2 linked regions of the Arabidopsis thaliana genome follow. The protein of the gene in region 1 interacts with the protein of each later gene in a pairwise test. Each region holds a gene or a part of one and is shown on either strand. Other genes may lie near its edges. The genes, in order: BPC5 and AT5G66940.

Evidence for each region.
Region 2: the proteins of BPC5 (region 1) and AT5G66940 interact in a two-hybrid assay, tested with the Arabidopsis thaliana proteins (one large-scale study listed by BioGRID).

Annotation. Positions count from the first base shown.
Region 1 is NC_003075.7:18,144,522-18,148,887, reverse strand, and holds BPC5 (basic pentacysteine 5), read left to right. Parts: upstream 1-1,996; 5' UTR 1,997-2,089; intron 2,090-2,444; 5' UTR 2,445-2,458; coding exon 2,459-2,527; intron 2,528-2,624; exon of another isoform or gene 2,625-2,627; coding exon 2,628-3,410; 3' UTR 3,411-3,537; downstream 3,538-4,366. Other genes in the region: VHA-C3 (vacuolar-type H[+]-ATPase C3), read right to left, coding at 35-167, 505-790, 1,483-1,558; AT4G38905 (uncharacterized protein), read left to right, coding at 3,833-4,359. UniProt on the Arabidopsis thaliana protein: Transcriptional regulator that specifically binds to GA-rich elements (GAGA-repeats) present in regulatory sequences of genes involved in developmental processes.
Region 2 is NC_003076.8:26,727,100-26,730,332, reverse strand, and holds AT5G66940 (Dof-type zinc finger DNA-binding family protein), read left to right. Parts: upstream 1-1,617; 5' UTR 1,618-1,666; coding exon 1,667-2,344; 3' UTR 2,345-2,514; downstream 2,515-3,233. Other genes in the region: AT5G66930 (meiotically up-regulated protein), read right to left, coding at 2,784-2,859, 3,009-3,165.

The sequences.
Region 1 (4,366 bases):
GAATCATGCGGACTTCAAGAACCGCACTCTTTTCTCATTCGGCTCTGGACTGACCAGCTCGGGAGGACAAAATGATCCCGACGATGAGACCGTATAGAGCAAGAGCTTCAGCGAAAATGAGGATAAGAATCATACCAACGAAAAGCTTTGGCTGTTGAGCATTGGCCCTGTCATCAAACCACAAATTTGCGTATCAAAATGATATAACAGGGGATAGACACTCACAATTGAATTGATATTTCTTCCATTATATTTCATCCTAGAGAAATACGCCATGGCACAAGACATCTCACAGAAGCATGTAATGAACTGATATTTCTTCCATTATAGATTCAACAGTCAGTGAATTGCACATATTCCCTACCAAATTTTCATCAAGTTGAATTGTGACACTAAACTCATGATATTCTGATTCATAAGGGAGATATACTTGTATAAAATTGAGTCTTTTAGCAAATTAGGCTATAAGAGTGAATCTGCAAAGAAGGACACAGAGGATCGTACCTGACACCAGCATCGCCAACGATACCTATGGCCATTCCAGCTGAAAGACCAGCTAGCCCACAAGCAAGACCAGAAGAGAGATGAGCATATCCGTCGAAGAGGTAGTAGGATTTAGCCTTGGGGTTAATCCCGGTACTGATGATAACAGCAATAATCAAACCATAGATACCCAACACACCAGCCATAACAACTGGGACAATAGACTTCATCACCAACTCCGGCCTCATCACACCCATAGATGCCACTCCCACACCACTCTTTGCTGTCCCGTACGCAGCTCCCATACCTTGTTAATAACACAAAGATACACACTCTTTAAGGTCACAATCTAACTATGGTTTACACAAGTAATCAACATGCCTTCGATATGAAGAAAAAGCATAATTGACATAGATGAAAGCAACTCAGCAATTTTGATGGTAACAACGGTAAATCTGTACTTATGCAATTAGTACCAGTCACAGCAATCACAAAACCTGGCAACTCCAGCAAATTTCCCTAGGTAATTTCGATATGTTGGACAAAGAACAGGACACCAAGAAATTCTTTTTTTTTTGTCGGGGACACCAAGAAATTCAACACATACAGATCTAAGCCAAAAAGTCTTAGTTTCTAGAAGATCAGCCTAGACTACATCACCAATGGAGAAAAGACAAAGAAAAAGGATTTAAAACCAGCGTAGAGCAGTTCCATAAGAATTTGATCCACTGACTAAAGATAATAAACTAGAATTTTCGAAAAGGAGAGACATATAATAGTTCAGTGATATCGCTTAGCCTAAACAAATCTAGAGAGAAATTTCTAAGAAAAATCATGAGCAACACACAGATCGGTGAACTTCTCAGGGCCGATCTAAAGCACAAAAGCAACTTTGAGGGAGATCATGAGAACAACAAACACACACAAGATCAGTGAACAATTCAGAACCAAAGAGAAAAGAAGAAGATGGAGATTATAAGAGAGTATAGATGGATATACATGAGAAGACGAGCGCAGCGGCAGCGCCAAGGAAGCCGAAGAAAGGAGCGGTCTCATCGCCACTGAAGGTAGACATCTCTCAGGCGATTCTGGATCTTAAAATATGTGCTTCCTTGGAACACCGGAATCTGATCTCTCTTTCTCTCGCAGATCTCTCTCCGTTGAATATACAAGGATTGAGTTTCCGAGGCTCAAAAGCCTGATTGATGATGAGATATACTACTACTACAACAGCGAAGCGCACACGTCGGGATCTCAACCCGGGTCTACCCGTATTCGACCCAGATTAGTTGCCTTATTCTTAGGCCCATCATACGGCCCACTAGAATGATCCACCAGAACCAAAATCATATCCTGTTTGGCTTATATTTGGAGAGATTGAAACAGAAACGTCTTTGCATTTTTACGAGTAAGATGGATAGACAATAATAACCTTCTTGCTTGCTCTCGTTTAGCAGTTTTAAGACAAGGGTATATTAGTAAATTGAACCGAGAGTACCTGGCTCGTCTTCCACTTCTTGCCACATTACACAGACACCATTTCCAAGTATCCTCAGATCTTTCTCGATTTCCGTTGCTTGTTTCTCCTGAAGGCTCGTTGAAATCCGTAAGTCTTCGATCGTTAATCGTGTTCTTGACCTATCTGTTAATTTCAGCATGCCAAGTTTTTCTCTCTACAATTTTCATTTTCTTCGAATTTTGGTTCTTCTGGGAGCTCTCTCGTCGTTGCTTTAACTTGAAATTCGAACTCTATATATGTTCCCGCGTATCTTACTTGCTCCATTGTTTTCTTCATCGTTTGGTTTGGATGGTATTACGCTGACTTGTGGGATATGATACGATTTCTCGATTTATTTGGGTTAAATGTATGTTATGGAACTGCTTATGATTTGGAGTATTTCTGTTTTTAGTTACTCGTCAGCCTAGTTTCACAATGTTTGATATCAATTTCTCCATTGCAGTTGAAAGTAAGAGGATGGAGAGTGGTGGGCAGTATGAAAATGGGCGCTACAAGCCCGATTACTACAAAGGAACACAATCTGTGGTAAGCAAAAACACTTGAAGAAGCAGATCACTAAAACAAAAAAACATGTTTTCGTTACTTTGAATGAAACCTAAGTACAAACTGTGTGTGTGTGCAGTAGAATGTGATGCCGAAAAAGGAGCAACATAATGCATTGGTGATGAATAAGAAGATCATCTCCATCCTTGCTGAGAGGGACGCAGCTGTCAAGGAAAGAAACGAAGCGGTTGCAGCAACTAAGGAAGCATTAGCCTCTCGTGATGAAGCACTTGAGCAGCGGGACAAAGCTCTCTCTGAAAGAGATAATGCTATCATGGAGACAGAAAGTGCGTTAAATGCTCTTCGATACCGTGAAAACAATCTTAACTACATTTTGTCGTGTGCCAAGCGCGGTGGTTCCCAAAGGTTTATAACTGAAGAAAGCCACTTACCTAATCCTTCCCCTATATCAACTATTCCACCTGAAGCAGCCAACACGAGACCGACCAAAAGGAAGAAAGAGAGCAAGCAGGGAAAGAAAATGGGCGAGGATCTGAACCGTCCAGTTGCTTCTCCCGGAAAGAAAAGCAGAAAGGATTGGGACAGTAACGATGTCCTAGTCACGTTCGATGAGATGACAATGCCAGTGCCCATGTGCACTTGCACCGGGACTGCTCGTCAGTGTTATAAGTGGGGCAATGGCGGCTGGCAATCATCTTGCTGCACAACCACTTTGTCTGAGTATCCGCTCCCGCAGATGCCAAACAAGCGGCATTCCCGAGTTGGCGGCAGGAAAATGAGTGGAAGTGTCTTCTCCAGGTTACTTAGTCGTTTAGCTGGTGAAGGGCATGAGCTTTCCTCTCCGGTTGATCTCAAGAACTATTGGGCTAGGCACGGCACCAACCGCTACATCACTATCAAGTAACCAAGATTTATGAGCCAGTAGCCACTATATATCAAGTATTGCTCTCTCGTCATCCCTTTTGATTTTTTTTTTGTCGCTTTAGATTTAACAATTAGGATCAAAAGTCGAATGAAAGATGAAGTTAGGCTCGTTATTGTTTTTACTGTCGATAGTTCCGTTAAAAGGCAAATATCTAGTAGTACTGTTTTGACTTGGTTTTGTTGTTTTATGTAAATAGTTACATTATCATCTACTTTGTATTATTGTAATTTCAAAATTCGAAATCTCACCCATTAAATCGCAAGAATTTGAACAACTTCAACAAATAAAAAGGAAAAAAATTTAATAATCTCCTTATATTAGAGTCAAGCTTCAACGACTTATGTAGTCTCTTCATCTCAAGCTTACTCTCAAAGTTCCACTTAAAGAAAAGAAAAAAAAGCATGGACCAAAAGCTAAAGACCACCAACACTAGTCCACCACCGCAACCACCAAAGCGTTGGCTTAACCACATCAAGACATTTTTCGACGTTCCTAACCCGAGAATCGTTAGAATCTTTTTTATAGGCAGTTTTGCCACATTTTTCTCCGGAATTGCTTTTGCTTTTGAATGGACATTAAACGGCAAGAACCATAGCGGATTCCAATGGATCATCTACTACGCCTTGTCCCTGATCATTCTTCCTATTCTCATCTGGCTAGGTCTCGGTATTGTCATGATTTTCTCGTCAAGCCACGGTTCAATGCAAGTTGCTAGCTTCATGGTGGAAGAAGAACAGTGTGTCGACGGTTCTGCCGAGAAGAGTGGGAATAAAGAAACTAAAGATAACAATTGTGAGAGTTTGGCGATTGTGGTTAATTCGGCCGATCAGAAAAAGTGCATGGAGAAGATATTTGAGAACAAAACGGCAAAGCTAAAACGCACAGTTTCATTCCCATTGCATAGCCAAGTGCGATCATGTCGGACTAGGTGAGTG
Region 2 (3,233 bases), on another chromosome or scaffold:
TGGGGTTTGTTTAGCAGGGTGTCAGATTCACATCTAAAATACAACAGTCACAAATCTCTTATGTTAAGGCCCATGGTCCAAGGGGTATACATATTAGGCCCATTAGAAATACGGACCAGAAGGTAAATGACGAAAACACCCTTTCAAAAGGAAACAGAGAAGGACTGAGACTCAGAGAGGAAAAGGACAAAAAGAATGGGATAAAGAGAGAAGGTGTGTCAGAATTTGACCAGATTAGACCGGTCGGTACACAGAGTAAGGACGGCTCTGAACCAGTGTAGACACGTCTTGGCACATACTTCTCACATGTCTCTCTCCAAAATGTTGGATGCTTTTTGGTGTGAAAGGGAGTGAAGATTTGCATGCTTCTTAACTCCTAGCTTCTCCGTATCCATTCTTTACCCGACAACCTTCGCTTCTGTCTCTTCACAAAACGAATCTCTTCTGTCTCTTTTGACTGTTTTTAGCCTCCCCAATTTTACAATTACTACCCTCTCTTCTTTCCTGTGGAACAAATCACATTTGTCACACTCTCTCTCTCTACCTTAAAGATCCATTTGTCTTGTTCCTCAAGATCATGTTAAGTCAGAATTCACCCGACTATTGTTATTCTGTCTTCATGGTATTGTCTAGATTTTTACTTTTTATAGCTCCTAAACAACATAAGATTTATAATCTATTATTACACCGTAATGATAAAACAAATTGAAAACATTGTCTTAATCTTGATGCATGCTGAGAGATAAGATAAGACCATAACAAAACTTAAAATTGATAATCAAGTTGGTTTAACGTAAAACTGTTGAGTACTTTTACTTGATGTTTTAAATGTAGTTTTTTTGAGGACCTGAACGCATTGATTCTGCATTTATACTGGTATTCTATTAAGGACCTGTAGTGATTGGTAGCACATCTACACACACCATCAATCTCTTAGGTCCATATACCATTTAATCCTTCTTTTTTTGGAAAAGATGCACACAACAAATTAGGCTAATGAGCCCTCCTAAACACTTAACAATATAATGGCTGTATTATTGGGAACTGCTTTACATCGATAAGCTCAATAGTCTCTACTACATGTAGCCTACTCTCTTCACAGTTCAGTCTTCACTTCCCGTAGACACGTACTTTTGACATAAAATTTAATGTATTTCTTAAAACAAATATTGCATGTAGAAACCTTTTTTAACTTTTAACTCAGAAATTCGACGTGTATAACACCATAATTAAAATTAAAATTTCAAAAGCATTGTTAGTCAGCAAATGTAATCATATGATTTTTCTTTCACTTATTTATCATAAGTTATTTTCAATTTTGGTTTCTTCCAACATTCACTAATGTCTATGCCATCAAAACGTGTGACAGATTATGGATGGAGAGATTAGAGAATCGTGGTTTTATTTCAAAACAGAAAATCTTGAAAGAAGAGCCACCAGCTACGTATAATGAAGTAAAGAAACAGAGCATATCTATTCTCTCTCTATGTTCACAATAAACCCAACATACTCTGTCAAAAAGCTTCACTTTCTTCTCCTTCCCCATCTCTCTCTCTCTCCCTCTCCTCCATAAAAGGAAACTCTTACTCTATCACAAAGTTCCAACCTTTAACTCTCCAAAGCTTCAAAAACTCTCAACTTTCAGATAACCTCTCTTCTCAACAACATGCCTTCTGAATTCAGTGAATCTCGTCGGGTTCCTAAGATTCCCCACGGCCAAGGAGGATCTGTTGCGATTCCGACGGATCAACAAGAGCAGCTTTCTTGTCCTCGCTGTGAATCAACCAACACCAAGTTCTGTTACTACAACAACTACAACTTCTCACAACCTCGTCATTTCTGCAAGTCTTGTCGCCGTTACTGGACTCATGGAGGTACTCTCCGTGACATTCCCGTCGGTGGTGTTTCCCGTAAAAGCTCAAAACGTTCCCGGACTTATTCCTCTGCCGCTACCACCTCCGTTGTCGGAAGCCGGAACTTTCCCTTACAAGCTACGCCTGTTCTTTTCCCTCAGTCGTCTTCCAACGGCGGTATCACGACGGCGAAGGGAAGTGCTTCGTCGTTCTATGGCGGTTTCAGCTCTTTGATCAACTACAACGCCGCCGTGAGCAGAAATGGGCCTGGTGGCGGGTTTAATGGGCCAGATGCTTTTGGTCTTGGGCTTGGTCACGGGTCGTATTATGAGGACGTCAGATATGGGCAAGGAATAACGGTCTGGCCGTTTTCAAGTGGCGCTACTGATGCTGCAACTACTACAAGCCACATTGCTCAAATACCCGCCACGTGGCAGTTTGAAGGTCAAGAGAGCAAAGTCGGGTTCGTGTCTGGAGACTACGTAGCGTGATAGAGACTATCGGATCAGCTTCTACTTCATCGGAGGGTTTCAATCTATCTTCTTCTTCTTTTAGCTTCTCTACCCTAACTTTCAGTTTTAGTTGATCTGGTTCTTATTTAGTTAGGTTACTTGTGAACGAAACTTCAAATCAGAGAAACGTTTGTTTGTTTGTTTGTTTTTTTGGCTCTATTTAATGTCAATTCCAACTTTAGAAATCTTGGAAAACAGAACAGTCCACGTTGTTTAGGAAATGCAAGTCTGAAATTTATATACAACACATCACTTATATACAACAAAGCATAGATAAGGTAACATTATCCATCGACGAGGAGAGGGTAACATATAATATATTTACACAGAAAATGTAACTAGGAAAGTGTTGATTGGAGTTAGGCTGCACCAAGAAACATCAAAGTGTATATGTACTAAGTTAAGTGGAAAATGGAATTTAGCCGAGCATTGATGGATGGCCACTGTGTAGTATCCTCTTGAACATATCCATCCCAAAGGCAGAGTCCGATGAGCTGAAACAAAACTTAACTCATTTCAACACTTGTACAACAAAGATATAAAGAACATTCTTCACTCATCTATGTCTGTGGGGATCGCTACACCTAAAGACTAAGATCTCTAGAACACAGTTTGATATGTGAATAAATGAAGACTGATGTACCTTGGGATAGTGATCTCAAAAGGGTAGTAGATTACACCATCGTTAATGGGAGGAACATGATCCTTCTTCTCATTCACGAATTTTATGATTTGGAACAAGACTTCTTGAAGGGATTGCTCAAGCAGTGTCCTACGAGAACTTCTCTCCTCCGATGCCTCTACAGTTATTGATTAGAGCATGACAATCACTTCACACTCTTATAATAATAAAAAGATGTAATTTTTG